7 linked regions of the Oryzias latipes genome follow. The protein of the gene in region 5 purifies or fractionates together with the protein of the main gene of each other region. This does not show direct contact. Links are inferred from orthologs where the notes say so. Each region holds a gene or a part of one and is shown on either strand. Other genes may lie near its edges.

What was found.
Region 1: the proteins of snrpb2 (region 5) and sf3b5 purify together in Homo sapiens (affinity purification with mass spectrometry; 3 studies listed by BioGRID and IntAct, with this or other methods). This does not show direct contact. The link is inferred for Oryzias latipes from reciprocal best matches to the Homo sapiens genes SNRPB2 and SF3B5.
Region 2: the proteins of snrpb2 (region 5) and phf5a purify together in Homo sapiens (affinity purification with mass spectrometry; 4 studies listed by BioGRID and IntAct, with this or other methods). This does not show direct contact. The link is inferred for Oryzias latipes from reciprocal best matches to the Homo sapiens genes SNRPB2 and PHF5A.
Region 3: the proteins of snrpb2 (region 5) and rbm17 purify together in Homo sapiens (affinity purification with mass spectrometry; 3 studies listed by BioGRID and IntAct, with this or other methods). This does not show direct contact. The link is inferred for Oryzias latipes from reciprocal best matches to the Homo sapiens genes SNRPB2 and RBM17.
Region 4: the proteins of snrpb2 (region 5) and gemin5 purify together in Homo sapiens (co-immunoprecipitation; 3 studies listed by BioGRID and IntAct, with this or other methods). This does not show direct contact. The link is inferred for Oryzias latipes from reciprocal best matches to the Homo sapiens genes SNRPB2 and GEMIN5.
Region 6: the proteins of snrpb2 (region 5) and sf3a1 purify together in Homo sapiens (affinity purification with mass spectrometry; 5 studies listed by BioGRID and IntAct, with this or other methods). This does not show direct contact. The link is inferred for Oryzias latipes from reciprocal best matches to the Homo sapiens genes SNRPB2 and SF3A1.
Region 7: the proteins of snrpb2 (region 5) and sf3b6 purify together in Homo sapiens (affinity purification with mass spectrometry; 4 studies listed by BioGRID and IntAct, with this or other methods). This does not show direct contact. The link is inferred for Oryzias latipes from reciprocal best matches to the Homo sapiens genes SNRPB2 and SF3B6.

The regions. Positions count from the first base shown.
Region 1 is NC_019873.2:17,221,377-17,225,827, forward strand, and holds sf3b5 (splicing factor 3B subunit 5), read right to left. Parts: upstream 3,035-4,451; 5' UTR 2,910-3,034; intron 1,036-2,909; 5' UTR 1,011-1,035; coding exon 750-1,010; 3' UTR 144-749; downstream 1-143. UniProt on the Homo sapiens protein: Component of the 17S U2 SnRNP complex of the spliceosome, a large ribonucleoprotein complex that removes introns from transcribed pre-mRNAs.
Region 2 is NC_019877.2:2,093,971-2,098,369, forward strand, and holds phf5a (PHD finger-like domain-containing protein 5A), read right to left. Parts: upstream 2,897-4,399; 5' UTR 2,825-2,896; coding exon 2,773-2,824; intron 2,500-2,772; coding exon 2,476-2,499; intron 1,163-2,475; coding exon 996-1,162; intron 919-995; coding exon 829-918; 3' UTR 730-828; downstream 1-729. Other genes in the region: aco2 (aconitate hydratase, mitochondrial), read left to right, coding at 3,859-3,894.
Region 3 is NC_019881.2:3,094,996-3,098,773, reverse strand, and holds part of rbm17 (splicing factor 45), read right to left. Parts: intron 2,519-3,778; coding exon 2,442-2,518; intron 2,366-2,441; coding exon 2,267-2,365; intron 2,192-2,266; coding exon 2,119-2,191; intron 1-2,118. UniProt on the Homo sapiens protein: Splice factor that binds to the single-stranded 3'AG at the exon/intron border and promotes its utilization in the second catalytic step. Involved in the regulation of alternative splicing and the utilization of cryptic splice sites.
Region 4 is NC_019872.2:29,392,306-29,395,749, forward strand, and holds part of gemin5 (gem-associated protein 5), read right to left. Parts: intron 2,396-3,444; coding exon 2,322-2,395; intron 2,122-2,321; coding exon 1,940-2,121; intron 1,527-1,939; coding exon 1,387-1,526; intron 1,320-1,386; coding exon 1,148-1,319; intron 1,078-1,147; coding exon 895-1,077; intron 825-894; coding exon 771-824; intron 701-770; coding exon 572-700; intron 452-571; coding exon 356-451; intron 288-355; coding exon 150-287; intron 1-149. UniProt on the Homo sapiens protein: The SMN complex catalyzes the assembly of small nuclear ribonucleoproteins (snRNPs), the building blocks of the spliceosome, and thereby plays an important role in the splicing of cellular pre-mRNAs.
Region 5 is NC_019859.2:709,676-714,211, reverse strand, and holds the start of snrpb2 (U2 small nuclear ribonucleoprotein B''), read right to left. Parts: upstream 2,950-4,536; 5' UTR 2,824-2,949; intron 2,437-2,823; 5' UTR 2,429-2,436; coding exon 2,365-2,428; intron 695-2,364; coding exon 522-694; intron 461-521; coding exon 329-460; intron 257-328; coding exon 221-256; intron 133-220; coding exon 44-132; intron 1-43. UniProt on the Homo sapiens protein: Involved in pre-mRNA splicing as component of the spliceosome. Associated with sn-RNP U2, where it contributes to the binding of stem loop IV of U2 snRNA.
Region 6 is NC_019867.2:18,885,776-18,890,218, forward strand, and holds the start of sf3a1 (splicing factor 3A subunit 1), read right to left. Parts: upstream 3,065-4,443; 5' UTR 3,042-3,064; intron 2,931-3,041; 5' UTR 2,889-2,930; coding exon 2,841-2,888; intron 2,349-2,840; coding exon 2,239-2,348; intron 2,157-2,238; coding exon 1,952-2,156; intron 1,878-1,951; coding exon 1,620-1,877; intron 1,536-1,619; coding exon 1,461-1,535; intron 1,396-1,460; coding exon 1,245-1,395; intron 1,165-1,244; coding exon 968-1,164; intron 864-967; coding exon 746-863; intron 642-745; coding exon 334-641; intron 199-333; coding exon 1-198. Other genes in the region: ccdc157 (coiled-coil domain-containing protein 157), read left to right, coding at 3,065-3,429, 3,567-3,717, 3,806-4,443. UniProt on the Homo sapiens protein: Component of the 17S U2 SnRNP complex of the spliceosome, a large ribonucleoprotein complex that removes introns from transcribed pre-mRNAs.
Region 7 is NC_019882.2:13,000,137-13,003,957, reverse strand, and holds sf3b6 (splicing factor 3B subunit 6), read right to left. Parts: upstream 2,217-3,821; 5' UTR 2,094-2,216; coding exon 2,064-2,093; intron 1,740-2,063; coding exon 1,621-1,739; intron 1,134-1,620; coding exon 995-1,133; intron 899-994; coding exon 809-898; 3' UTR 530-808; downstream 1-529.

The sequences.
Region 1 (4,451 bases), on a different chromosome or scaffold from region 5:
TTCAGACAAAAGCTGCAGAATAAAAGCTCAAACTGAAATCTCTACCTTTATCAAGAGACAGAAAGATCCTTTTATCATATATATTTTGATGGGCAAAAAAAAATTAAAATTTGTGTCTGACTAAAGCCTGCACAACAAAACAGTACTTGTAACTAAGACGTTTATTATAGGTAAACACAATTGGCAAATATTCAATCTAAAGATGCATTATTTTTGAAGGCATTTGTAAAAAGTAAAAAACAAAATCATATATTTTAAGCAAAAACAAAACCACTGCTATAGCCATTGCTGCTCCTTCAACAAAGTCCTAAGGATGACTTTGGTCTTTTTCTTTTTACAATAAAACGTCTTGTTTGGATGATTTATTCATTTAAACGTTCTCACTTTTTTAAATGCGTTTTAGAAAACTGACATATTTCCAGAATAAAATGATCAGTGAAAGAGCTTAACCAAAGGAAAAATAATGTTTTCATTAGAAATACAACAGTTCAACATTGTGCACATATTGGACATTTTTAACATTTTCTGAAATGGATAAGTTCAGGTGTCGTCATTCTCATTCGTTTCCTGAAAGCACTACAGTTAATGTATTCACCGATCAAACAAGTGAGAATAGCTTCAGTGAACACATGAATACCAGATTTTACTGGCTGCTCTGACCTCAAGGTTAGAAACAAACAACCGTCCAAAACTGAAAAAAAGAAAAGGTAAGAGGGAAAAAAAGCTGCAGCAGTTGGTTGGGCTGTGTTTTATGCATCATCGGGTTTGTCTGCAGGTGGTCCACATGGCTGAAGCATCTTCTCCATCAAGTTGAAGCGAACACGAGCTTTGCTTTCATTTTCAGCGATGGAAAAGTAGTTGAGCAGGTCAAAATGACCCATGTAGGAGCAATAAGAGTCACGGTGCTGGTTCACCAGCCATTCCCATTTGGTAGTGTCAGCATGCCCTGTTCCGATGTACTTGGACTGGAGATGCTCCAGCTGACTGTGGATATTGTATCGGTCAGTCATTCTCTCTGAGATCAGTCAACAGGCTCTGGGAGAAAGAAAGTAAATCAGAGATTTGAATTGTGCTTCAGCAAACAGACGATCCAGTCAGATAAACTCATAAACAAGAAGGTTTTAGTTATTCTTGTGACATTTGTGAGGAAAATTACAATTCAAAGATAAAAACAAAATAATTTGAAGGAAAAAAAAACTCAAAATAATGCCTTTTTTATATTATATGGTGGTACATGTAAATAAATTAAACCTTTAAGAAGCAAATGTTATAAACATGGCTAATGGTAAATACACTTCACAAGCCTATAAAATTCTATTATGTGTCTCTCCAATGAGTGGGGAGCATCTGAAAGTAAAGATTACCACATCCAACTGCTAAACTTCAAATATATCAATGAATGTCAGTTATACCATGGTCCAGGTGAATGCTCCATTCTGATTGGCTGCTGAGTGGGGATTAAGTAAGGGATAGTCACCAACAAAGTATACGTTGCCAGAAATTAACGCACGCCGTGGAAACCCAAACTGCCCGATGCTTCCGTTGATTATTAGTGCGTTGATTATCCTGCTTTTACCATGGTCACTTACAAAACAAATACATTTTCAATCAGTTTTTAGTCATTTATTCTTGTTATTTTTTCGGTTTACGTTGCTTTTTTCAAAAAAAGCGGACTTTTTGCAACATGGTGTGGCGTGTTGTCACGTTACCGTAACATGACAACACGCTGAGCTGGCACCGACCTCCACTGCAGCAGTAAAAGCCATAAATAAGCTGATCGTCATGATGGTGTATGTTAAATTAAAGCATCAGTTCAGAATGAAGGTTCACCGCTCACCGCTTGTTTTTATCCAGATGATGAAACAAATGTCTGTTTTAAAAAAGCCGGCGCAGTGACACAGAACATCTAAGCAATGTAACTGGAACTTCTTTTTTTAGACGTGCGGTTATCACTTTTTTAATGCACACTCAGCAGCCAATCAGAATTGAGTATTCACCCGTACCATGGTATAATTTCTGATAATGGACACCTCAAAGGTCATTATCCGTCTTTTAACGGACGACAAGGAAGCTTAAACTGTCAAGACACCTTGTCAGCTATTATCCTTTACTTACCCAGCATCCCCACAAAAATCTTATAGGACACATTGAACACATACCCATTCACCAGTCTATTATTAAACTAGTGTAGAAGTAGAATAATTATTAAATTACTATACTTTGCAGTGGTGTGTATAAACATCAAAATAAAATATTCAGTAAAAACAAAAATATTAATAAACCGTAGAGTTGAATGTCTAATACAGACTTTTCCCCTTATGTTTCTTACGTCCCTTTTCTCCAGATCATATGCAGTTTACTTTGACATAATGAAATACAAAAGCTTTGTTTTGTTGTTTGCACACCAACAAATTCTGTATTTCTTAGATTATCATCCCTTTCAATAACATGAAACAAGTTTTGAATTAGTGTGACAAATTAAAAACAAAGGCATGACTGATTTGTTAGAATTACAGGAAAACGACGGATTTCTCACAGCTATGCAGATTTGAACCTTTTAGCCTAGCTAAACTGCTAGAAATTCTGGTCTTAAGGAAAGGACTCCTCGGAGAGTCAATGGATAATTTTCCCATGAGGAAAATCAATATAATGCACAACTACCAGAAATTAAATAAAATCGTGTCATACTTTATTGCAGATATTTACCATTTATGGTATATGACCGTTTTTGAAAGCACGACTATCCCTTTAAAACAAAGTTACATTTTACTTTGTTAGCTTGATCCTATATCATTAGCCTGGGTCTCGGCTAATAACCTATTTAAACTCCTGAACTTTAGTTTCTCTCGTAGCCAGCGGTGCAACTTCCATGTGGCCATCGATGATATACATATAAAAGGTCAACTTACTTGAAAAGCGCGGGTTTGAAAAACAGGTGAAGCTTGAAAAAGATGATAAAAACTGCGTCCGTCCGAACACACCGCGACGAGCAGAAGCTGGCTTCCGGTTTGCCTTCGACTTAACAAACCGGTGAGAAACCGAGACGGTGTTTTTTTTGTTCCGACTTTTTATTCCTAACGCGATGGTAAAGGTGGACACCAAAGTGAACGACATATAAAACCTCATTTTATGGAAAGGTGAAAGGCAAGTCAAATATTCTGTATCTATTCCTTTTTTTTTTTTTTTTTACAATGATAATTATATATATTCTTGGTCATAAACAGGTTAGGAACAATATTTTTAGATCTGAAAACAGTTTCAGGTTTTCGGTTTTAAAACAGCAGGCATTTAATGAATGTCAACTGTAGTGGACACCAGGACCATTTTAATCTATTTAATGGCTACACATTATTTTTAGGTGAAAGAAGTGAAGCTGAGAGGATTCTGTACCAGATAGTCGAAGGTTGATTCATATTTGGAGCTTTCGGATGATGAAAAGGATGAGGAGGGTGAGATTCAGTCTGTGATAGGTGATGATGAAGATGAAGAAGATGATAATTCAGGAGAATCTGATGAGTCAGAGAAGGTGCAGCAAAGTCTTCGTGCTCTGTGGACCAGGACTAACTTGCATGTTTTATTTAGTTTCAGGCTAATGTCTTACATTTTATGACCATGTTAGAACATTGTAGTGTTTGTACTATGTTTAAATGGAAAAAAAAAAAACTGCTTTTTTTATTAACTTGATTTTTTTTGTGTTTTTTAAACGTACATCATCACAGGTTTACACCTGTGCTAGCAGGGCGCCCCGCTCAAGATGACCCCAAAGTTTGTGAATACTGGAGTCCAATCTCGTACTTTTCACAGTACATCGATAACAATATTTTCGAGGATCATCTAATGTTTTTTGGGTGAATATCACTCTAAAGATTTAATCTGCTCCTTTTTTCTGATTTTCCAAATTGATCTCTATTTTCACAGAAATATCATCCTGTTGTCTTCTATCTACAATAAAAAATATTTTTAAAAAAATTAAAATTGTTAGGTGTTCTAGGCCTAAATAGATAGGAAATCACATAAAAACAGGAATTGTAAGACACTTTTTTTCCTCGGTTCTCAGGAGGTTGAATGTTTTTTTAAATTTTTACATTAAAGTTTTACATTAGACAGGAATGGTCTGATGGTTTTCAGATGTCAGTATGTGACCAGTGGCCATGTATTCACGTGTGCAAAAAACCCTGCTTCGTCAGTATTACTAAATGTGCTACATAAATCAAGTAAAGTTACAATATTTTTCAGTGATTCCAATATTTTATAATTTCTTTCATGCTATTTATGACACAGAATAAGAAACAGAACAACCTCGTTCCTTTTTTTTTTTTAAAAGAAGCTCCATTTTAAAGGAAGAACATCACTAAAGTTTATAAATAATGCATGTTCTGCTGCTTTACTGGGCAGCACTAAAAATTGGGTTTGTTGGCAAAATATGCAAACTGTCATGAGTTTGCAGTAAA
Region 2 (4,399 bases), on a different chromosome or scaffold from region 5:
TTTGTACAGAAACATTTTGTTTTCTGGGTCTGAGTGTACATAAATGTGTAATAAAAACTTCTGAATAAAATGCTGATATTCAAAGGTTTTATGTTTTGGCCCTCAGTTTTTCTGCATAAATTAATCTCTAGACCATTTTATTGTCTGAGGTTTAATACAAACCATAATACTCCCACCACTGTTTTAAATTTGTCCCTTTTTATTAAAGCTAAATAAAAAGTTAAAGGTTTTCCATAGTTGAACTTTTAAGTAATCTTTAAGCAGTTCATCTACAATTACTTTTCTGATTTAAATAAATTCATTTGTATCCTGAAGAACCAGGAATCAGGCTGTCCTGTTTTCAGACGGGAGAAGTCAGAATTATACGTCTTTAAATACATCATTTCCTCACTTTTGATCAGTAAAATGTAGATTTTGTTGGACTCAAATCCCTAATTTTTTAACTGAACTCTCAAATGTTTAGTTTTTTTCTTCCCTGTTGTCTCCATTTCAGGTTAATGTGACGAGAAAAGACAAACCAAAACTTCCAGATCTGAAGCTCCTCAGATCTTTAGGAAAATGTCGAAACTTTTCTTCCATCTAGAAAAGTTTAGGCTGCATTTATACGACCTGGATCTTCCTTGGAACCTAACAGGAACAAGGTTGAATGAGAGAAAAGAGCCTCCATGTATAAACGATAAGAAAAAAACGCTTTAAAACTGGATTATTCAGTCAAACGGCCACAGAGACTGGAGTACAAAAGTGAGTTTTATTCACAAACCAAAACAGTTTTCTTGGAAGTTTGGAAACGAGAAGGAAAGCCTAACAGACGCCGGGGGGGTTTCTTCTTCACCTCTTCTTGAAGCCATACTTCTTCCTCTCGTAGAACAGGTCTGTTTTGGAGCTGCCCAGGTTCACGATTTTCGGACATCCGTCCCGCTGCACAAAAAAAAGATTAAGGGTAAAAACATTGGTTCATTTCAGCGAAGGGCCGATCCTGGAGCCCAGAGACTCACATCTTTCTCCTGAATGGTGCACTCTTTGCAGTAGTACGCATCAGACACTCCGGGGCCTCCGCAGATCACGCAGCGCCCCTGATAGGACCCGTAGTTACACTCGTCACAAATGCGCACCAGCGTGCACGGCCTCACGTACGAATCACAGATGACGCACTTCCCATCGCCTGAAAGGAGCAGATCAGGGACAGTCTGGTTGGTCTCTGCCGTCTTTTAAACATTGTTAAAGTCAGACTTTAAAACAAGTTATTTTTGTAAAAGAAGACGGTCAGACGCTGCATCTCACTTCCTGAGTTTCTGCTGCTAGTTTCTTTGATGAAATGACAGCAAAGAGCTTTACAGATACATCAAATTAAACTTTTTTTTTTTTAAAACTCGAAGCGCTTTAAAATTTAAAACTAAACTCAAGACTTGAAAACAGCTGATCGTTCGTGTTTTTTGATCAAGAACATCTGTGTTGCTCTATATGCAGACAGGAAGGAGATACAATAGAGAGAAGAGGATAAACAGATAAGAATTGGCCAACACAGTTTGTTTACAATAGTTCAGAACTCTGGGTTGATGTTTTTTTTTTTTAAAGCAATATTTGACTGACATAATAACTTTGATGCATCTGTATGAAGGACTTTATCAAACTTCTGTTTTTCGAATCTCATCTTATTGACCAGACTTCCAGACTGGGAATTTAAGACATCTTTAATGTCATATCTATATGTTCCACGGCATCCTTTCCTATTTAGTTTTACAGACTGCTTCATTCTAGATTTTCTATCTAGAAAAAGTGTACTGATTTTCGAGGCAGGAATTCAAATGCTTCAGTCAGAAAGCAGGCCCAAACCACAATAAACTTCCACCGTGCTTAAAGTCCCACTCTGATCCTCTATTGAAATATTTTCATAACGTTTCCAAAAGCTGTGTCGTTTCTCCAAAGCGGCAGGAGTTTATTAGAAATACACCTATGAGTTGTGGGCAGATTGGTAGCGTGGAGCATGCCCGTCCCCCCTTCCCATCACCCATCTGTTTGTGTGCACTCACGCTACCTTTACAGCCCCTCACACCTCCAAACCTAACTGTATCGGTTTTGTTTCCAACAAACGGAAAAAAAACCTCTGTGGAATTCAATGGACTTTTTCTTCACTCTGCTTTATGTTCCCACTTAAAGTACTAAGTACAAATGAGTTTAGACTCCATTCACATTGAAAGCTTCTTGTTTTAAATTCTAGAAATGGAAAAGTTTTGGATTGTAGTATTTTTTCCTAGACTAGAGAGGGCTTTTATTCTGAAAATAATTCTCACATTAAACATTAAAGGCCCGTGCAGAAAAAAAAAGAAGAACAAATCAGGGATGGCCGCACGCAAAGAATCACTTTATAATATGTTTTTTTTTTTTTTGTTATTTATAAATATTACCTATAAAATGATATCTACATGCACTCTTTCTTTGAACGTTTGATAGCATTAAACAATTAAAAAAACTTACATTTTTCGCAAAGTCTCCCGATAGCTGGTGATGAAAACAGATACAGTTAATAAGGTAATTTACACAGTTTGGGATTAATATTTTAAATAATTAAATAGAAAAAACTAGGTATTTAGACATGTCGACTCCAAACACAAAACTAGGCTAACACGACCATGCTAACAGTCTCATTGAAACCCCATGCCATACATGCTAACAAAGCGCTAAACCTTTGAAAGTAAACCACGAATGTGTCAAATTACCTGCGACGAACTTTAAGGTTTCAGACACTAAACAAATAATTACGTAAAAACTTACCAACTCCCGCTTGTTTTCTACAAAAGATCAGATCTGGGTGATGTTTAGCCATGTTAGCTAACGACAACCCAACGCTCCGCTGACTCTTCTTCTTGCGTGTCGGTGGAAGCTAAAAGCAGCTAAATGGCCAATACTGACACCTACTGGACAGAAGCATGTACTATTTTATTTTTTAAATTACAAAATAAAACATAAACACGAGTTATAATATTTAAGATAATGAAAGTAATTAATTTAAGTTTTGAAAATGTAAAAATAAAAAATGTTACCAACATATTTATTTACATTTTTTTTATAAATACTAGATTTAAATAAATACCCTTTTTGCTTTTAAAATAGGCTACATTTCCAATTTTTAAAACCTTTTTATGAAATTTTCTGTTTTAAATTCATTTTTTAAAATGTTTTCTGAAAACCAGAACAATATATAAAATTATGAGAGAGTTACTTTATAAATAAACATGTCAGCTTGAGGAGGAAATTACCTGTTTGAGAACTTTAATTGCAGTTCATCAAATTAAAATTTTCTTGAGTAAAAATGTACTTTGGTGTGCAATGCATACCCTTGCTGAAGAAATAAAATTTTTTCTAACTATTGCGCAACTTTTTTGATGAACAGAAAATCTAGCTTATTTAACTTTGTTCATTAATTTATAAAAATGTTACATTTCCATCATATTTCTATATTTATTTTGTTTAATCAAGCACATATGAATGATTAACAACCATTTTACAAACCTAAACTTTTAGTCCATTGAATTGAAAACATGATGCAAATATCCTGTATGTATGGAAAATTTAATTCAAGCAATGCGTTATTTCTTTTAGATCTGCTGATGTGACGACCAATATTTTTCTTATGAGTCTGATGACACATTTTGTCACATATTGACACAATTTCTTTAATATTTTATTCCATGTAAACATGTACATTTTAGAAAGGAAATAAAATTCAGCTGTATTTCCAGGCTTTTCCACCAGAGGGCAGCAGTAAATACGACACTGGACGAAAAACCAAAGAAGAAGAAAGAAGCTTTTATACATCAGTGACGTCACGGCGATCTCACATCTTTGTCAGTGAACAAAATGGCATCTTACTGTCTCACCGTCGCACGGCTCCAGGTAAGAGCCTAAAAACTGTGATTTTTAAGTGTGAATTTCCCCGCAGCGAAGTGTCGATTTGCATGAAAAGATTTAACATCTCGTGTACAGTTTCCCGGTCTCATTAAAAGACCGAGAGCTAACGGATGAACGCAGAGGTTTTTCCTAGCTAGCTGCCTGGCAGGTCATCGTGTCCCTAACGCACCCGACCCAGGAGACGAGAACCAGCTTGACCCCAGCATATTATTGCCCTATAACGCCTCCGTTTTTAGTATGTTATCTCACATATTCTCTGTTAAACAATGAAATCAGTCTGGCTAAGGTTTAGCGATGCAGTTTTGGTTGGAGGTAACAAGGTTAACCGCAAGGTTAGAGCTCGGAGCGGCTGGACAGCAGCTGGAGGCGCCTGAGCGGCTGTTTCAGATGAAGAAAACGGACTCAAGCTGTCAGTGGGAGATTTTATGACGACGAGGAGTCTGAAATGCAAACATTTGATTGGATTCCGGCGCCATACTTGATTTGTTTG
Region 3 (3,778 bases), on a different chromosome or scaffold from region 5:
GGGACGGTTCTTTGTTTCAGTGTTCGGACCGGAGAAGCGTTCTGACCGCAGTCCGTACGGCTGCAAAGGCACTTGATCGTAAAAATACTAGAAGCGTGTTTAGAAGATGATCTCACTCCGTGTCGGAGCTCTGCTTGTTTACAACAGACTGCATAATATTTTCTTCTATGGTGGTATCGTTATTTGTCCAGACCAATGACTATCTGACACGTCATCGGACCAACGAACAGCCAATCACATAATGGGACGTCAGCACTAGTCCCAGGACCCCGAACGGGTGTTGCAGGCTGAATGGTTAAGGTCCCTACACCGCTTCTTTTCGCTTTAGAATTTCGTGAGCTGAAGCTTCAGGGATAAATTAATTCTGGGGACAGGGCCTTTGCTGTAAGAGCCCCAACACTCTGGAACAGTCTCCCTGAAGAGATCAGGCTCGCTGGGTCCCTACCAGTATTTAAATCTTTTTAAAAATTTACCTCTACAGGTGTGCTTTTAAGGATTTTACTGGTTCTTAAATCTAAACATTTGATTTTATCGATTTCATTGTTTTTTTCTTGATTTTCTTGATTTTACTGATTTATCGATTTTATTGATTCTAACCACTATCACCATTTCATATGTGTACTGGGTTTTATTTCTCCATACTGGAAACTGTTTTTAATACTGGTTTTGTTTCATATTAATTGTACAGCCCTTTGTAATCTGGATTTCGAAACAGTGCTATATAAATAAAGTTAATATTATTATATTATTATAGGTCGAAGAGAATCATCACTAAGAGCTTTATAGTGACTTAAAGAAGTAGTGTGAAGTATCGTTTGAAGCAGCACTTCTCATGGCTGTTTTAGGAACTCTTCTTTTTTCCTGTGCACATTTGGAGCTCCCGTCTGTCTGTCTGTCTGTCTGTCTGATGGCTCGTTTCCTCTCATCCGTTTGTGTTTTGGTGTTCAGAGGAAGGAGACAACAGGAAGTTGGATGGTGGGGGCAAACTGACAGGTTTGTACTCGGGTCCAGTCAGAAGGGACCAGGGAACTTGCAACATGAAACAGTAAAGTCTTTTCCCTAAATATGATCCGAATGTGTCCTGTGACGGAACCTGTCCAGGCTGAAAGCCGCCTTTGCCCAGCAGTAACTAGGATAGGCTCCAGCAACCTAAAACCTAACCTAATGATTTCTAAAAGCAGACACCATGATCATTCTTTCCCCCCCTTTAAAAATACAACGTCACCAATTTCCGTAATAAAATCCGAACAAATACAAACATTTTACGAAGATTGATTGTGATTCAACTCTTGTTCTGGTGATGGAAGCTTGGATGGTCCATGAAAAAATGTATTAAAAATACTATTTTTTTCATGAAAAATCGCTCAAACGCAATGCATTGTGGTCTATATTCACCAACCTAGTGAGCAGTGATGTAGATTGCTTTTTTTGTTGTTGTTGTTTTTCTTGCTGAGACTTCTAGGGCGATGGAATTTAAGAAATTGTAGATTCGGACGTCCCAGTAAACTGGTGCCATGCCCCGTATGGTGCGCGGTGAAGGAGTTCGGACACAAGCTCTTTGTCTTAGACTCTGGGGATGAAGTGTTGGTTGCCAGGCAACCACTCAACCCTCAGAAGTGAGTAAAAAAAAACAAAAAAACAGAGAGGGGCTGGAGAACGGAGCGGAACGGCACCGTCTGCTCTGTGGACGACGATGAACACAGAATTTTATTAAAAGACGTCATTTTATTTTTAACCCTTGTGCTATCTGGTGGGGTCCAGATGACCCCACTCCCAACGTGCCTCCAGAAAGCACAAGGGTTAAAAAGTGAAAATTTTTCCGTTTCTACAGCATAAACCTAAAGCTGGCGTCTGTTTAGTGAGAATGACTGTGTGGAGAGCGGTGTAACCCTTCCCTTGGTCTGCCCCACTTTCTGCGAGCGGTGATGTAAGCCCGGTTCTGCCGGTGCCGCAGGGAAGCGCCTGGGTTGCTGGGCCACAGATGATATAACACCTCAGGGAGCCGAGGCTCACCTTCTTTCTGATCTGGGCCGACTCATTTAGAACGGTTACGCCTTCGCCGGCGTTACCGGAGCGGTTATGAAACCAGAGCCTCGAGCGCCCGTCCGCGACAGTCACCTTTGATGGCGGACTCCACCCTCTCGAACTCTAGGAAGATCCGGACCGCCTCGTCGTCGGGAACCTCTGCGATCTGACAGGAGAGCAGAAGTCTTTCAGGCGCCTCTTCAAACCCCCTTTCCCCTCCGTCCGGGACGCTCCGTCTCACCTCAAATATGACACATTTCACCACTTTGCCGTATTTCTCGCACTCCTCCTTCGTCTCTCCTTCCAGGTCTTCGTCCACCTCCCCTCGGCCCACCATGTTCTGCAAAACACGAGGCGGTTTTCAGCTCCCAGGAAAGCCCCGCGGACTCTGAACGGACGCGATTCGGAGCACCAACCCGTAGCAGGACCACTTTGGTGGGATTCTTCAGGATCTCCGTGAGCGGATTCGACTCAGACTTTTTGGAGGCATCCGCTGACGGACGGAGGAAGAAAACAAACAAACAAACAAACGGTTATTACAAAGAGATGAAGGCAAATGCTGATGTGAGGACGGAAGGGGTGGATGACGGGTACATTTATCAACAGCGAGCTAAATGTGGAGCTAAACAACAGGAAGCATCACTGTAGAAACCCACTCTGATGAACGTGGCGTTTCTGATGATAGAGGACACAGTTAAAGACAACTAGAAGGAGCCAATACAGGTTGAATGTTTTACTTCAGAATGAAAATGAAACTCTAAAGGTAATAATTGGCAAAAAATAAAGAAAGACATGATCAAAGTTGACCATAAATAAAATGAAAACAGCACAACAACAATCCTGAAAAATGCCAGAGCCGGGTATCGAACCAGCGAGCTTATGCACCAAGGATTCCAAGTATTTCAATGGAGGCAGAAACCCTGGAAATCCTGGAATATCTGGAAAAGTTCAAGGATTTGAAGAGCTGAACATTTGAATAGTTGAATGGTTAAAAAAAAGTAGCAGAAGGAGATAAGCTGCAAAAATGAATAAAATAAAGAGAGAGAAACAGGAAAACGATGGTTGAAGGCTTGATTCAACCCATTAAGGTGGAAATTGCATTTGTGAGTATTTCTTTATTCAAATCGTTAACAAAAGAAAGTAGTTGGAAGAAGATCCTGTTGGTGACGTAGAAGCTACCATCTCCCTGCTCCCCTCAACCCCCCCCCCCCCCCCCCCCCCCCCTCAGAACCGAATGGCCGGACAGCTCCAACATTCTGTTGCACCGGGAATGTTAGGTTGGGGGGGGGTGGAAGGGGTTGTAAGCTATTGTGGGAGAGTTTAAACAAAGTACTCAGAGGGGGCCGAGTTGCTTCAAACCAAGATTCCCGCCTACAACTCGTAGTGGGGTTTAAAACAAAAACAACCACAAATCCGAGACACCACATAGTCTTTTAGGGGTTAAGGAGGGAATTCAAACAGAAAACCTCCCATCGAACCTCTCTGACCAATCCTCTGCCTCTTGGCGCCTCTGGGCATTCTGGGTAGTTTAGTCAAACACATTAAGGATGAAGCTTTCTTTGGCTAATTTCAAATAAGAAACGCAACATATGGGACTTTAACGAGCGTGGAGGAGTTGGTCAAAAGATTAATAAGTAAGGGTTAATGGCTGACGAAGTGTTCATTATCAGAAATGAACGCACGCCGTGGAAGCCTGAACCATGTGACGCGATGCGGGACGAAACAGCTGTTACCGACTGGAACGCTGAAAGGT
Region 4 (3,444 bases), on a different chromosome or scaffold from region 5:
CGATGCAATAAAAATCTAGAGAATTTCCTGTGAGAAATGTTTTTTAGTGCTCTTAGACCAGCAGCAGCCAAAACCTTCTCTTTTTTTGCATCAAACTGGCTTCCTGACGTCTGCACAGACACTTCAACCGGCATCTTCCCGCTCTTTACCCATCGCAGCGACGGACAGCAGGTGGTCGTTCAGCTCTCCTTTCTCCGTTGCCAGCTGCAGCGCCCCCTGCAGGTCTCCGCTCCACAGCCGCAGGTACACCACCGAGTCGAAGTGCCCCGCCTGCACGTGACCTTCCTCTGAGGGTCGACAGGAAGTTGAACGTTACGCTGAAACGCCCAAAGCCAGGAAGGGAGAACCAACAAACCTTCTGCCTCCAGCATGAGGCGCAGAGCCCGCCGGTCTGCAAACAGGCCCAGGTGGACATGGTCGCCATGTCCCGGGCTGCAGCCAGCAGGTGGCGCTGAAAACACACAATCAGCCCTGCTTTGTGAAAAAAGGGTCGAACTGAAGACTTAAGCTCGTTTAAGTTTTCTGACATTTTTATTTTGCATTTGGAGACCATCTGCCAGTTTTCTCTCACCTGAGGCGTGTCTGACGGCGGCCAGAGTGACGCAGTCCTGCAGCAGCTCCTCCCTGGGCCGGTGGTCCATGGACGTGCTGAGGGGCAGCATGGAGCGAGGCTTCTTCTTCTTCAGGAGGCTCAAATCTGCTGCGGAGCCAGCAAGGGACATGTTCAGAACCCAAAGAAAAAGCCGTTTGAACAAGAATCAGACACAAACCTGGTGGCTTCTCTTTACTTCTGGAGACAGATGAGGATTTCTTCTCCAAAGATGCTAAAAAAAGGAAAAAATGATTAGAAAAATGCGATTTGACATGAATCCTTCAGGCCTCAGACGCATTCACCTCCTGGAGGATGCATGCTGCTCGTGGAGCCGACCTCCTCCTCCTCCTCCTCAGACAGATCCTTCTCTCCGTCGCCGTTCATCTTTGGCACCACATCTCCTCCGAGCCCCGGCGCGCTCTTGCTCTTCTTCTTCTGCTTGGAGCCGGACTTCTTCTTCTCCTGCAGCGTGCTCATCTTCCTCCCTGGGAGGAGAACATGTCAGTCGTGAGCAGGAGGACCTGGCTGGATCCCCCCTCAGAGCCTCATCGTCACCTTTAGGTGGCTTTGTGAACTCCTGTTGGGAGACCTTCCACTCCTGCACGGTGAAGTCTTTTCCTCCGGTCCAGATCACGTCTGGATCAACGGGGGACCAGTCCACGCTCAGCAGATACCCCACGTGACCCCGGTAGTTAGAGATGGGCGCCTCCTCCAGGACGTCCCACACCTGAAACGAGACCCGCCCATCAGACCTCAGAACAGCATTTTGGCTTCACCTGTGTGGAGCAGCAGACCTGTGCCGTGCCGTCATACGAGGCCGTGACCAGCCGAGCGCTGTGATGTGGACTCCACGCCATCCCGGTGATCTTGGCTGTGTGACCGCACAACCGCCGGTACGGCTCCGTCAGGACCACAGGAGTCTCTGGAGGGTTCTCTGAAGACCAGGAAGACTCGTAAAGATGTGGGTTCCATAAGGAATTACTGCCATCTATCCATCCAACCATCCAGCTATCCACCTATTCATCCATCTGACGATTCATTTATCCATCCATCCATCCGTCTTCGTGTAAAGTTGTAGACCTAAGTTTCAAAACTGGAAATATTAAATCTACATCCAAACTGCAAGTATTCGTCCTGAACGACAGTTGATGTTTGATAAACTGATCCAAAGGAAACCAAACAACAAAATGGGATGAAGGTGAAGAAGATGAGAATTCTGAAGGGATCCCAGAAACGGTCATATCCTCTCTGACAGTGGGGTAACTGGGAGGATTCAGAGCAGGTTGGAGCCGTTTATTGGACGCTTGTGTTGTCATGTGACTATTGTTGTGAACGTAAGGTCCCCACCTATCACGGAGCGGAGGTCGTGCACGTAGACGATGGCGTTGCTGGAGCCCGAGGCCAGGAGCGTGTGCAGCTCTGAGGCGGAGCCGTGCTGGTGATGCCACCGCAGCGAGTTGATGATCTTGTGGTGCTGCTGGACGCTGCACAGTTGCTTCAGGTTGGGGGCTTGGAAAACATCAATGCACCTGATGAAAGAGATGAAAAGACCGGTGAAAGAGGCCAGTTTCCAGGAAAACAAGCAACTTTTGACATGTTTACTTTGTGATGCAACCTGACAGAAAACCTCAAAGCTCCACCGCTCCTCATCTCTGCTTCAGATGTTTTAACCATTAGATCAAAAAGTCTGGTTGGCGTTTCTAAGGGTTCACGTGTGAAAACAACTCACCCATCCTCGTTACCGATGGCAACGACTTTCCCATCCGGCTTCCAGCTGAGGTCGGTGTGTGGAGACAGCTTGTGCTGTTGGAGATAAAGATCAGTTTCAGGGTCGGTGCAGCTCAGCTGCTTTCAGGACAAACGGCAGAAACTCGCCGCCATTCTCAGCCTGAAACGGCAGAAACTCGCCGGCATTCTCAGCCTGAAACGGCAGAAACTCGCCGCCATTCTCAGCCTGAAACGGCAGAAACTCGCCGCCAGTCTCAGCCTGAAACGGCAGAAACTCGCCGCCAGTCTCAGCCTGAAACTCGCCGCCATTCTCAGCCTGAAACGGCAGAAACTCGCCGCCAGTCTCAGCCTGAAACGGCAGAAACTCGCCGCCAGTCTCAGCCTGAAACGGCAGAAACTCGCCGCCAGTCTCAGCCTGAAACTCGCCGCCATTCTCAGCCTGAAACGGCAGAAACTCGCCGCCAGTCTCAGCCTGAAACGGCAGAAACTCGCCGCCAGTCTCAGCCTGAAACGGCAGAAACTCGCCGCCATTCTCAGCCTGAAACGGCAGAAACTCGCCGCCATTCTCAGCCTGAAACGGCAGAAACTCGCCGCCAGTCTCAGCCTGAAACGGCAGAAACTCGCCGCCAGTCTCAGCCTGAAACTCGCCGCCATTCTCAGCCTGAAACGGCAGAAACTCGCCGCCAGTCTCAGCCTGAAACGGCAGAAACTCGCCGCCAGTCTCAGCCTAAAACAGCAGAAACTCGCCGCCAGTCTCAGCCTGAAACGGCAGAAACTCGCCGCCAGTCTCAGCCTGAAACGGCAGAAACTCGCCGCCATTCTCAGCCTGAAACGGCAGAAACTCGCCGCCAGTCTCAGCCTGAAACGGCAGAAACTCGCCGCCAGTCTCAGCCTGAAACGGCAGAAACTCGCCGCCATTCTCAGCCTGTAACGGCAGAAACTCGCCGCCAGTCTCAGCCTGAAACGGCAGAAACTCGCCGCCAGTCTCAGCCTGAAACGGCAGAAACTCGCCGCCAGTCTCAGCCTGAAACGGCAGAAACTCGCCGCCAGTCTCAGCCTGAAACGGCAGAAACTCGCCGCCAGTCTCAGCCTGAAACGGCAGAAACTCGCCGCCAGTCTCAGCC
Region 5 (4,536 bases):
GCCACGCCCACCCAGGAGGAGGCGGCGGCGGGGGGGCACTCACTGGTTGAAGAGCATGGACAGCATCATCTCGTTGGTCTCCTCGGGGAGGTTGTTCAGGAACAGGATGTGGTTGGGGGGGTTATCCGGAACCTGGGAAGAGCAGAGGCTCAGAACACGGATCCTCACAACACGGATCCTGAAGAAGCCTCCTCATCCTCTCAGTGATGAAGAACCCTACCTGGAGAGCGAGCGTGAGACCAGGAACCGCAGCAGCCTGCAGACAGAACACAGTCAGACACAAACAAACGGATCGGTAAAGGGGGGGGGGCACGGCGCCGCGCCTCACCGCGGGCTTCTTGGCGGCGTTGGCTGCCAGCTCCTGGGCCTTCTTCTTCTTCTCCTTCTTCTTCTCCTTGTCTCCGAAGGTGCCCTTCATCTTGGCGATGACCTCGGAGTCGGTCTTGGCGTACTGTATCCTCTGCAGGGAGACAGAGTCAGCGGGGGGCGGGGGGTCATCCTGAGGGTCTGCGCGTTCTCACCATGGGCTTGTTGTAGAACGGGAAGCCCTGCAGCTGCCGCAGCGCGTTGGTGGCGGCGGCCAGCTCTTTGAAGACCACGAAGGCCTGCCCCCTCATCCTCATGGTCTTCAGCGCCACCACGCTGAGGATCTGGCCGAACTGAGAGAAGAGCGCGTAGAGCGAGCGCTTCAGCTCTGAGGAGGAAGAGCAGAGATCAGACCCGGAGGAGCGAAACCAGAACCAGCCCAGCAACAGTTCTCCTCCGACCCACAGAAAGACCTGTGTTTGCTGGGATCCGCCTCCATCAGGATCCGTTTTGTCCTTTCAATCAATCCAACCTTTATTTGTAAAGCGCCTGAACAGTGAAATAAACACTAATAGAGCCGGTCTGACTGTCATCTACTCTGGTGTTAGAAGCCAATGAAAAAAGAGGAGTTTTTAACAAAGATTTCAAACCCTATAAGGAGCTGGCAGACAAAGGGAGACGGTTCCAGAGTTCAGGTTCAGCCACTGAAAAGACTGTCACCTTTAGTCACAGGTCCAGGTCTGGGACCACCAGGAGCCTCTGGTCTGCAGACCACTAAGAGGACGATGGTGCTGCTCAGTGACATAAAGAGGTGCTAAAGCATTTAAACACTTAAAAGGTCAGAAATAAAACAGTTAAAATCAATTCTAAAAGATACCGGCAACCAGTGCAGAGAGCGTAGTACTGGGGTCATGTGATCACGCCGTCTGGACGCCGTTAGGACACGGGTTGAAGCTGAATTCAGGACCAGCTGAAGACGGAGGAGGGACGGCTCCCTCCCAGAATAACGGGAATGACAGCAGGCCAGTGTGGAGAAGATGAGGGCATGGACAAGCCTCTCCGGGGTGTCATGAGGGAGGTGTGGCTTTACTGTGTTGATTCATCGGAGACGATAAAAACAAGACTGGACCACAGCACTAACATGTCTATCAAATTTAAAACTAAAATAACCCCAAGATTTCTGCTAGAAGACAGGTCAGAGTTCAATGATCCAACAGGCCGCTGGATTCTGTCAGATCAGTTTTCCCGGTTTTCTGTTCATTTAGGCAGAGGAAGTTTGACTTCATCCAAGTTTCAACATCCTCTAAACTCTTCTTTGGGTTCTCTACACACTGGGCCCCCCAGATTCTAATGGTAGATAAAGCTGGATATCATCTGCATAACAGCGATAGGCCACATTACACTGATCAAAAATGGTGCAGAGTGGAAGCAGGTATAACGAAAATAAAATGGGGCCTAAAATTGAGCCTTGAGGAACCCCGTGTCCGAGTGGGGCCTTTGTGGATGAGAATTGACCAAGTTGGACAGAAAACCTCATATCAGATAAGTACGACTCAGACCATTCAAGTGCTGTGCCTCTCATGCCAACAGACTGCTCTAATCCAGAAAGTTCAATAACTCTGGCTGCAGTTTGATGCCTTAGGAGATGGACGGACGCCCTCCTCCTTACGTTGTTCCTTTGCCTGTAAACAGACGGCCGCAGGAAACAAAGGCCTGGTTTTGTTCCGATGACGGACATTTTTCTGATCCGTAAACTCTCAGAGTCTCTGTGAGCTGGAACTCTGACAGAACCGGGTCATGAAATCCAGGGTTCTGGACGAGGGTTTTTGTGAGGTGCTGCTGAAACTGCCAGTGACCCAAGTTTGACCTGTTCAGACCAACGAATCCTGCTTTTGGAGTGTGAACAGAACGCCAATGCTTTTCCCGCCCTATAATGATTCATTTACTGAGACTGAGATCCTCCCGAAACACCGTCAGCCTGTTGGGCTGCAGGTGGAGGTTTACAGGTGAGGCTACAGGTGAGGCTGCTGGATCCGTGTTTCTGAGCAGGTCACTTGCCTTCTTTCTTGACTTTGTCGTTGATGTTGTTGATGTAGATGGTGTAGTTTGGTCGGATGTCCATGATGGAGTCTGAGAAGAAGATGATGAAGCGATTTGATCAGGAAAACGGACAGGCGCTCAGAGCCTCACGTTGAATGAAGACTAGTTTTTAAAAAGCTTCGGACAACAATGAAGCCTTACGATTAACGTGCCCAGATACGAGAAAAAAATTATCTGGAAATACAGTTTTTAATAAGAGAACTTTTGCGAGAACTTAGATTTCTTTGATTTTATGACTTTATTTTGAAAGAGGCGCTAGCGTTAGCATCCGTTAGCTCCGAGGCTAACCACGCTCGAGTTCAAAACGTTAACCGACCGTGGCGGCTTTTCTTTCGGAGGAGTCGCACCCCTCCAAGTCTGTCAGCCCCAAAACAGACCAAAGATTTTAAAATAAAGAAAAATAAACCCGCAACTCACCCGCACTGTGTTCACGCAGCGCAAGCAGACAACCGGAAACCGCCGTATGCCGCTTTATGAAGATCGCCGCGCTGCTGCCCCCGCAGGCCGGGAGGGGAACTGCAGCGCCTTCCTTCCTGTTAAGAAACACAAACGAGAGTTAAGGGAAACTTCAGCCTTTTCATTCTCTTCTTCAGAAATCCTCATCCATATATATCAGTTATGTTTGCATTTATTTATTTATTATATTTTCTTTGTAATTCTTTCTGTTTCTCCTGATAGTTTCATCAAACCAAATACTGACTGTGAAGGACGCTATCTTTGTTATGTTACTATCAATGTTGTTAATAAAAACATCTTTGTTTAAAAACCTGCCAAAGGTGGATTATTCCAGTACTCCAGAAGGACTGTAGGATTTTAGCAACATTTATGTTCAAAAGTTGATGGTGACGGTAGTGGAGTGTTCAACACTCAGTTCTGTAAGGAGTCTGCATGTTCTCCACATGCATGATAGATAGACAACTTTATTTATCCATTTGGGAGGTTCCCGCATGGAAATTGACAAAAATGAGTGAGAACTTTACAAGTGTACTGGGGGGTATTCCAGAAGGCCCGTTTAAACTCCCCTGACTTTAACCCTGAACTCTGGCTGAACTTGCTTACTCTGGGTATGTTGGTTCCTAAAGACCGGATATGAGTTGGCGTAATTACGCTCCACTTGGTAACGCTGGGTTAATGCACAGCAGGTACATAAAGACATTCTCAATGGATCGCCGATTTCTGGAGTCACCATGAAAACGCGTGGAGAAAAAAAGAGAGCGCTATACTTCAGACGGAGTCTGAGATTTAAATGACGGCGTATGAAGATTATAGGTCCATCAATAAAGTAACACGGCTGCATCATCAGCAAAAGAAAGAGTTTCTGCTTGTAGTAGAAGAACAGACAAAGTAAACGCACGAGTTTCTGATCTTATTTCTATTTTCATTGTGACACAAATACGCCCCTCTCACCCTCCCCAGGTGGTTTCTCCTCCAAGCTGGGGTCCTCTACCAAAGGCCTGGGATCTTGAGGGTCCTGCAGTATCTTAGCTGTTCCTGTTCTTTTCTGGACTGAGAGGTCTGAGGTCTTTCCAGGTATCTGTTGTAGCCACTCCTCCAGCTTGGGGGTTACTGCCCCCGGTGCTCCAATTACCACAGGCACCACTGTCACCTTCACTTTCCAGGCTTTCTCCAGTTCTCCTCTGAGTCCCTGGTATTTCTCCAGTTTCTCATGTTCCTTCTTCCTGATGTTTCCATCGCTTGGCACTGCCACATCCACCACAACGGCTTTCCTCTGTTCTTTATCCACCACTACAATGTCTGGTTGGTTCTCCATCATCATCCTATCAGTCTGGATCTGGATCAATTCAATTCAATTCAATTTTATTTGTATAGCCCAAAATCACAACAACAGTCGTCTCGATGGGCTTCGAAGTAAAACATGAACTCAAAAGGATCACGTATACAAAGAGTTCAATAGAAAAATACTAAAATGAACTAACAAACTGACTAAGCTATACTGGCATCCCTGCCCTTAGACCCCCCTTCGCGGTAAGGAAAAACTCCCCAAAAAAAACGGATTCCGGAAAAAACGAAGAAACCTCAGGGGTGCCCACATGAAGGAGGGATCCTCCCCCAGGACGGGCAGGCGATTTACCAGAACTCTTAGAGAAGAATTATCTTATCTAAATTTAC
Region 6 (4,443 bases), on a different chromosome or scaffold from region 5:
TAAGTTGACTGCAGAAGAGGGCATGGGAGGCTGATGATTTTCACTTGGCTTGTTTGGACCAATCTTCTCTTTAGTGTCATCCTCTCCAACCAGGCCTTTGGCCTTATGAATAGCTTCGATCTGCTCCTGTAGAGTGATGTTGGCCTGCGCTGCCTGCTGGGTGCGAGCCATGCTTCCAGAGTGGCCATCCCAGGTAACCTGGACACGTCACAAGAATCCAAAAAGTTCAGACAAAAGTTGAACGCGTATTCACAAAAAATCTATCAGGTTGATAAAAAAACGAGTTCAAATGATGCTTTTCACAAAAACCATGCTACTTTCTACGGAACTCACCTTCTCCTCTGGCTTCTGGATTTCCTCTTCACCAATCTTCTTACCAATGGCTGTCTCTTCAACACCAAAGATATCAGTACGCCTCTCAGCGAGCTGCTTCAAGCTGCTCTCGATATCCAGACCAGGAGCATAGACTTCATCCTCTGTCTGTCTATCCCTGATGCTGCGGTCTCTTTGTTCCAGCCAGCGTGGGTCCAGCAGACCAATGCGCATGTGCTCCTGCATCTTGCTGGCTGGGATCTTCTCACCAGTGATTGGTGAAATGAGGTACTCATCTGGAGCTGCAACTGAGGGCATAGGCTTGGAGGCTGTGAAAAAAAAAAAAAAAAAAGGAAACAAGTTTTAATGCACCGCTTGTTTTATTTGCTTGTTTTTATACTTCATAATATTTCAATCACAGAAAAAAATGTACCTTTGGGATCATAGTCTTTTCGAATGATGACGTGGTCTGGAGTCGGGGGCAGAGGAGGTGGCATGGGGTTGTCAGGTGGAAGTGGAGCTTTAATTCCATCGTCCTCATCATCTGATCCCTGGAGAAGTAGCATTTTAAATTTGTGAATTTGCTACACAAGTAACCAAGAAACCTAGACAAGTGTTGGACTTTGTATAAATGTAGTAAATGATAACTGTTTACCTCATCCATGTCCTGCACTTGTGTGTCTTGGTCAGGCTGTGAGGGTTGACCTCCGGCTCGTTTCTCCCGTTCATCCTCTTCATCCTCACTCTCAACTTCCATCTCCACCTCCTCACTTTCTCCATACTTCTCATAGCGCTCCTGGATGAGGATTCGAGCACCAAGCTCCTCTGGAGTGGTAGGTGGGGGGAAGTGGCCTTGGAAAAACACCAAATGAATAAATTAATAACTATGGTTCTTGCAACATCTGGACCTGGTGTTCCTATAGTCATGCTACCTTGTTCATTGGGCTGGAAGTCCACAGTCTCCACCACGACAAAGTCATGCCAGTCAATTTGAGCATAGGCTACGCGTTCCTTCTCTCGCTCCTCTTCCTCCTTCTTTCTCTCACGCTCCTGGTACTTTGCCCACTCAACACGGTATCTCACCTGATGTTTGTAACAAGACAGTTTTAAACATAGAAAATAATCTTCTGAAGGCTAAAATAAATTACCTGGTCCATAACCTCCTTTGGATTCTCAGCCTCTCTCTTTAGTTTGGCCAGCAGACCCTTTGGGGGGATCAGAATCTAAAGGTTGAGGCAACATTTAAAAAAGTTCAATAACACAGTTTCAATAAAAAAACAAAGAAAGCTGTAATTTTTGTCCTTTACCTTGGTATATTGTTCCACCAGTTTTGTGAAGTAGTTGAAAAGGCTGTGCTGGGGTCTCAAAAAGTCAAATTGGTAGTTCCTCTGTTCTTTTTGCATGAGCTGGGTGAGAAACTGACGGCCGTTTCGTGCAACAAACTGGGCAGTGAGCTTCACAACATCAAGATCGAATGCAGAGATTGATGGAGGATCAGCTATGAATTCAAACTCTGGAGGCGGTTCTTTGGGGACCACAGTTTCCTGAATCACCTGGGACTGCACCTGATGAAGAAAAGGCAAGTTTGTATAAATATAAACCCTTGTAGGTCCGGGCACAGTAAATAGACAGTCCTTACTTTTTGTGGAAGCTGCTGAGATTGCTGCATAGCCTGCTGCATAACCTTGGGCACTGCGGCGGACGGTTCTTGAGCTTTGCCCTCCTTAAACTCATTGACTTTGTGGCGGTAGTAAGCATGGTAGGGATCGTTGGGGTTGAGGAAATTAAATTTTGGATTGTTGATCTCATTCTGACGGATTCTTGCTTCAAACTCAGGCCCATTCCTGTAAAGTGACAAGTATAGAGTCAAACTACAGATAGCAAACACCTCTTACAGCTGTACGTGACAGTTCTTTGGCAACCAACCTGGCAACAAAGCTCGCAGTCTTGTCAACTATATTACGGACCTCAGGAGGAGGATATATGATGCCAACAATAGGTTTAGTGGCTGGAGTTTCCTCCGGAGGTGTATCATTCTGACAAGAGAAGGTTCAAAGTAAGAATATTTATATTTAAAAATAACATCAAGTACAGTGAAGTTCCTCCTTAAAAATATTATTACACAAACATTATCAATTCACTTATTAATTAATAAGACTTACTTTAGGTAATTCTAAGATACACTGCAACAATTTAAACATTAAACCACTCGATCATTAAAAACCTGAGAATACAACTAACACATTTAGTCTAAACCATATGCAAAGATACCAAATATTGAAGTGCAATCATAGTTTAAGTAATATCTGTTACCTAATTTTATTGACTTTCTCAACTTGGGAATTTTTAGGGCCACACATATAGACGCAAACGTTGCCCCATATGTTTTACAGCTTTATAAACATTAGCATTTAATTTTGGACAGGCTTAGAAAGCTTTGCATAAAGGGGGCGAATTTTATAAGGCGATAAATCATTAAGAAAAGCGACGGATATCTGAGGCTAATGTTAGCTAGTTAGCGTCCTTACCTTGTTGTTAGGCTCAGGCTGAACCATTTGAACAGGCCCGGGCGGCATGGCTGCGTCTTTTTAACGAATCACCAATTTTACCTGAAAACACTAAAGCAACACACATATATTTTGAAATGAATTCTTTAAAAAAAATTCTGTAAGTCAAAAAGTAATAGCTAATACAGCTATAATTCTTTATTTGTCGACGTTAATACTCACCGCGTCTCGTTTTCGTTAACGCAATGGCGGCCAATTACTTCCGGAAATATCCGCTAAGAACTGTGGGACTTGGAGTTAACTGTTGCCAAGGAGACCTCACGTCAACAAGTACTTATAGGCGCCAAATAAGCGTTTTAGACATGAGTTTGTTGTTGGGTCGTCAGGATTCTATCAAGAATCTAAGAAAAGACCTCATCGATATTCAGGGTGCGGTTCTGGACGTGCTCTCCAGAACAGGACCAGTCTGCGCTTCCTCCTGGAAATTCCCGGACAAACTTTCCTGTCATCTAGACATTGTTGCTTTGTTGGAGGAATATGACTTCGTGGCAGGAGAAGATGACTTCAATCAGCATTCCCACATTATTCTCCTGGAATTGATGATTGACAGGTAACCTAATGTTGTATTGCATGTAAAATATATATATATATATATATATATATATATATATATATATATATATATATATATATATATATATATAATGACTTTAAAAGCATCTCTGCATGTTCTTGTTCCCCAACAAGGCTCCTGTTTCTTCTTCAAAGCGTCAGCGTTTATGCTGAACAACAGATGGGGGTCCACAGACCAGAAGGAGCTGCACACAGAGGCAGCATGTCAGTTGGTCTTGTGGTCAGGAATTATTGGGGGGATTTACTTCAATTTGCAGATAAAAAGGTAAAGAAACCTCTTTTTCTAGTAATGCCACAGGGATAAAAACACATGCAAAAGTATTTGACTTTAAATGCCTTTTATGTCTTTTTAGGAACTCTTCAAAAACATTGCAGAAAAGACAAATTCAGTGGAATCTGATGAGTCAAACGTCGAGTCCCCTCTCAATAGATCCAGCACAAGTTGCTCCAGGCATTCTTCCATATCCTGGTCTTCCACAAGCTCATTTAAATTCCTCCCACAAAATAACATCACCATCAGTTCCCCCGAACAAACCTCATTCCATCCTAAAACTGCCTCCCATAATGTCAGCTGCCAGACTGCACAAACGTCCCTCATCCCTTGTGGTACATGTCACCAAGTGCAATCTCTTTTGAGAAAAACTGGAGAATCTTTGATAGATCTGTTTCAAAGTGAAGGTCTACCCTCATCTCTGCAGCCTCTCTCAGCAGTTGTGGATGAGACAGTGAGGGTGGGACATCTGACTCCAGGTGATGTTGCACAGTGGGCCAATGAACAGCTCAGAGACATGCGCAGGCTGGCAAAACACCTGCAGGATGTGAGGGGAACGGTACTGCCCCTCCAAGACAGAGTAGCAGCAGCTGAAACGGATCGTGAGGCCATCAGATCTCAACTAAAAACAGTGCAGAAGGATTTTGAACAACAACTAGAAAAACAGCAAACAAATATAGAACAACTGGAGTTTTCACTGCAGGAAGCACAGAGAAGCGC
Region 7 (3,821 bases), on a different chromosome or scaffold from region 5:
AAATAATACTTAACAATAAAATGTGAAATGAGGAATTTTAAAACAAATGGATAGTCCCATGTAAAAATATAAAATATGATAAAGTGGATAAATTAAAGAATTCAAAATAAATAAAAACTATTAAAACATTTGCTAAAAGGCAGTTGAAAAAGATGGGTCTTGAAGCTTTTCTTAAAAGCAGCTATGCTCTCTGCAGCTCTCAGGTCCTCTGGCTGACTGTTCCGTAAACAAGGGTGTACCCCACCTTTGCCCTACAACAGCTAGGATAGGCTCCAGCAACAAATATAGCAGGTTAAGATGGATGGACGGAAAAGACTGAATGACGGTCAGCTTCTCAAAAGATACTTTTCTGTTTGTGTGTAAATGTGGGGGAAAAAAGAAAAATTAGCTGATGTGACAGGTTTACAAAACAAGAGTAAAGTGAGTTCATATGTGGTGTTTATAAAACAAAAGACAATGGGTTTAAAGAAAAAGAGACATTTATTTTACAATAAATGGGTTTAAACAAACATTACATCCATTGATGTTCTTGGAGCACAAGGCAGAGACCTGTTAACTTTCAAATAAAATTATGTGGGGGGGGGGGAAAGAACTGAACTGAAAACATGCCTGGTTTCACTTCAAATTAAAAGCTCAATTAACATCAGAGAAGTCATTTTTAAAAAAAGCAGACGGCAGGTCATGCATAAAAGGTTGACAAAAGCACCAAAACAAAAACCTGACCAAGCAAAAATTTTCAAAAAAGGGAACATTTGTACAGGTACAGAGAAATCTAAGGTGTGTGAGAAGGTTTTGATAGTCGTGGAGATCATTTGGGAGGGTCTGTGTTGATGCCGTATTTCTCTTTTAGGAGCTTCAACTGCTCTTCCTTCTTCTTTGTGTCCATTTTCTGGAAAGCCTGCAAAAATATGAGCGGGTTGATGGTAAACAGAAAAAAACAAACAAACAAGGAACCAAAAAGGTTGTAAATGGATGAAATAAAAAGCATACGTACTCTGTTGGCGTTGTAGTAAAGAACAACCAGGTAACGATTGCAGACGTTGAAGCCTGACAGGTGATCGCAAGCGTTCTTGGCATCAAATATGTCTTCATAAACAACATACGCCGTTCCTCTGCTTTCAGGTGTGTTACCCCTAAAATACAGCAAAAGCATGAAATGGTCACACATCTTAACCTGTTCCATAATAATATTGTCCTTAAAGACCCACTCTGATGAAAACTGTTTTAAAACATTTTCTCATGGCATTTTTCTGATGAAGGACAACATATATGAAAGAATATTGAGCTTATTTACATATTTATTTTATTGTCTGAAAACATATGAAAAAGTGATCTAAGAGGGACTCTTAAATGATGATAACATGTGAGGGGAACAAACAAAACAAGCATTTTTAATATGATTAATAATGATTTAAATGTCAAATTTAAGCAAATGCTACACCACAGTTTGGAATGAAACGATTTTTTAAATAAATTTTGCTTCTCATTAATACTACCATGTAAAAAAATTACATTTATATATATTCATTGTTAGTAGACGTGGTTGTGTGTTTAGGACAGACATTTTTTTAAATTAAAAATAAACAAATAAAACTGAAGGTATGAAGACAAAACACTTACGTTCGTATTTGACGTATGGGTCCATATTTGCCAAAAATGTCGTACATTTCCTCAGCCGTGATCTTGTAAGGCAGATTTCTTATGTATAGGATTCTGTTCACCTCTGGAGGTAACCGAATCTGCAGCACACAAAAAAGAAATGTGTAACAGAAAGACTAGCATGTAAACAAACGGTATAAGAATTCTTCACTAAAGTGTACCCTCTAACGTGCTAAAACAATAATAATTCTTTAAAATTTTAAGATGACAAAACAATCAATTTTACCATCTCATTTTCAAAATGCCGTATTTATTAATTTTTTTACGTAGCGACGCTATCTTTTAGTAACCAATAGCTGCTAAAGGCTAACGGAGGGCTAATTGTCCCTTTCGTGAGCACCAAAAACCATATTAACATATACTCGTTGTTATATAGTAAAGTTAAACACAAAAATTGACCTTACATTAGCGCGTTTCGCAGCTTGCATAGCCATGATGACAGTTTATTTCGTCTGAACAATAGCTAAACAACAAACACGCAATGCCTTTAGCCTTCACCAGGAAATGGAGGGACAAAACGAAGACGAACATCCGGTTAACGGATAATACCAATAGGTACAGCAATAGGCATGTGCTTCCCTCGTGTGGTTAAAAGAGGAATCACACACATTTTGAGATACTATTAACACAACTTTTTTTAAATTTCTTTGTAATTCTGTTCTTTGACCTAGAAAAAATCAACATGGCCATGAAAGTGGTTTTGTGGTTTCACAAGACACAAGAAATAAAAAGACTTATGTGTACCTCTCTCATCAAAGTGTTGTGCAATGAGATATATGTGTAGGGAAAAGTAAAATTACTTATAAACATCAATAAAATGCAAAACAGTTTTTTTTGTCATTTTTGTGTTAGGAAATTCCCTACACTGACAAAATCTATGTATTTAACTTTTTTGGAGAAAAATATTGGAGATTTGAGCACTAGTTAGAATTGCAGTTTGACCTGTTTACCCACAATTGGGGTTTTGGCGTTAAAATGAATCTACTCCCCTTTTGTGTCTTTTTTTTCTTTAAAGATAAAATCCAAATTCTATACATATTTATGAGGGGGAAGTTAGTAAAAATAACCATCTCTCATAAAAAAACAAACAGAAAACAAAGCTGTGCTTTTAATTTCTTTAAAAAAATACAGTCTAAAAAAGATCTTAATTCAAAGTACTCGATTCCTCTTCTTTTGTGACATTTAAAAAAAAAGCGAGATGACAATCACCTTTATAAATCTAACCACAAATAAAAAATATTTTTTCTCTAAAATGTTCGGAGAAAAAAAACTATATATAGAATATTAAATAGAATTGTGATAAAGTATTACAATATAAAAGAGGAAAAATAAACGACGACATGAGAATAAAGTCATAAAATTATGAGAAAACAAATCAACATGGGGTAATGATTTGTTGAACTGTTGTGCTTTTATTTTCTGCAATTAACAGGTTATGGGTTAAAGAAACGAAAAGAAAAGAAAAAGTATTAGTGCGCAGGCGCCATGTGGGATTTGATGATTCGGTCCGGTAACGGTTGCAGATTACGGCGGGAGTTTTTCCAACGGCAAACTGGCGTCTCTCGAGGAAAATCTAGAAGGGACGTTTTATTGAAGTCTCGCGACGTGGAAAAAGATCGACGGTTGAAGACCAACTCGGCGAGGAGAGCTTTCTTAGTCTGAGATGAATAAACGGGTGAGTTTTAGTTTAACATTTTTTGTAAACCAAAACGATAGCCGAACTCCTCGTATTGACTTTAGTTGTTTTTTTTTATTCGCAAAACGCCCGTTTACAGAAACCCGTCCTCAATGGCTAACCTAGCTTAGCCAGCGGACTGTGCTAGCTGCTGACGGTCCGATTGGATAAATTGTTTAAGTTTTGACCATAGTTACGACAAAAATTGTGAAGTCATAAAAATATATAAGAAAGTAATAATAATAATAAACTCATTGTAGGACTGACAATAGAAAAAAACGTATTTAGCTAAGTAGTTTGAGTTAACATGATATTAGAAATGAAAAATTTCAAGGCAAGCCTGAACAAATAAAGTCCAAATATTTATCTAGCAAAGCTTGCATGACAATTTAAAGACCTATTCAATAGAAAATTGTGTTTTTAACAAGTCTTTCTTGTGGATTTTTTTCTGATCATGGAGGACATATATTAAGAAAATTAAGCTTAT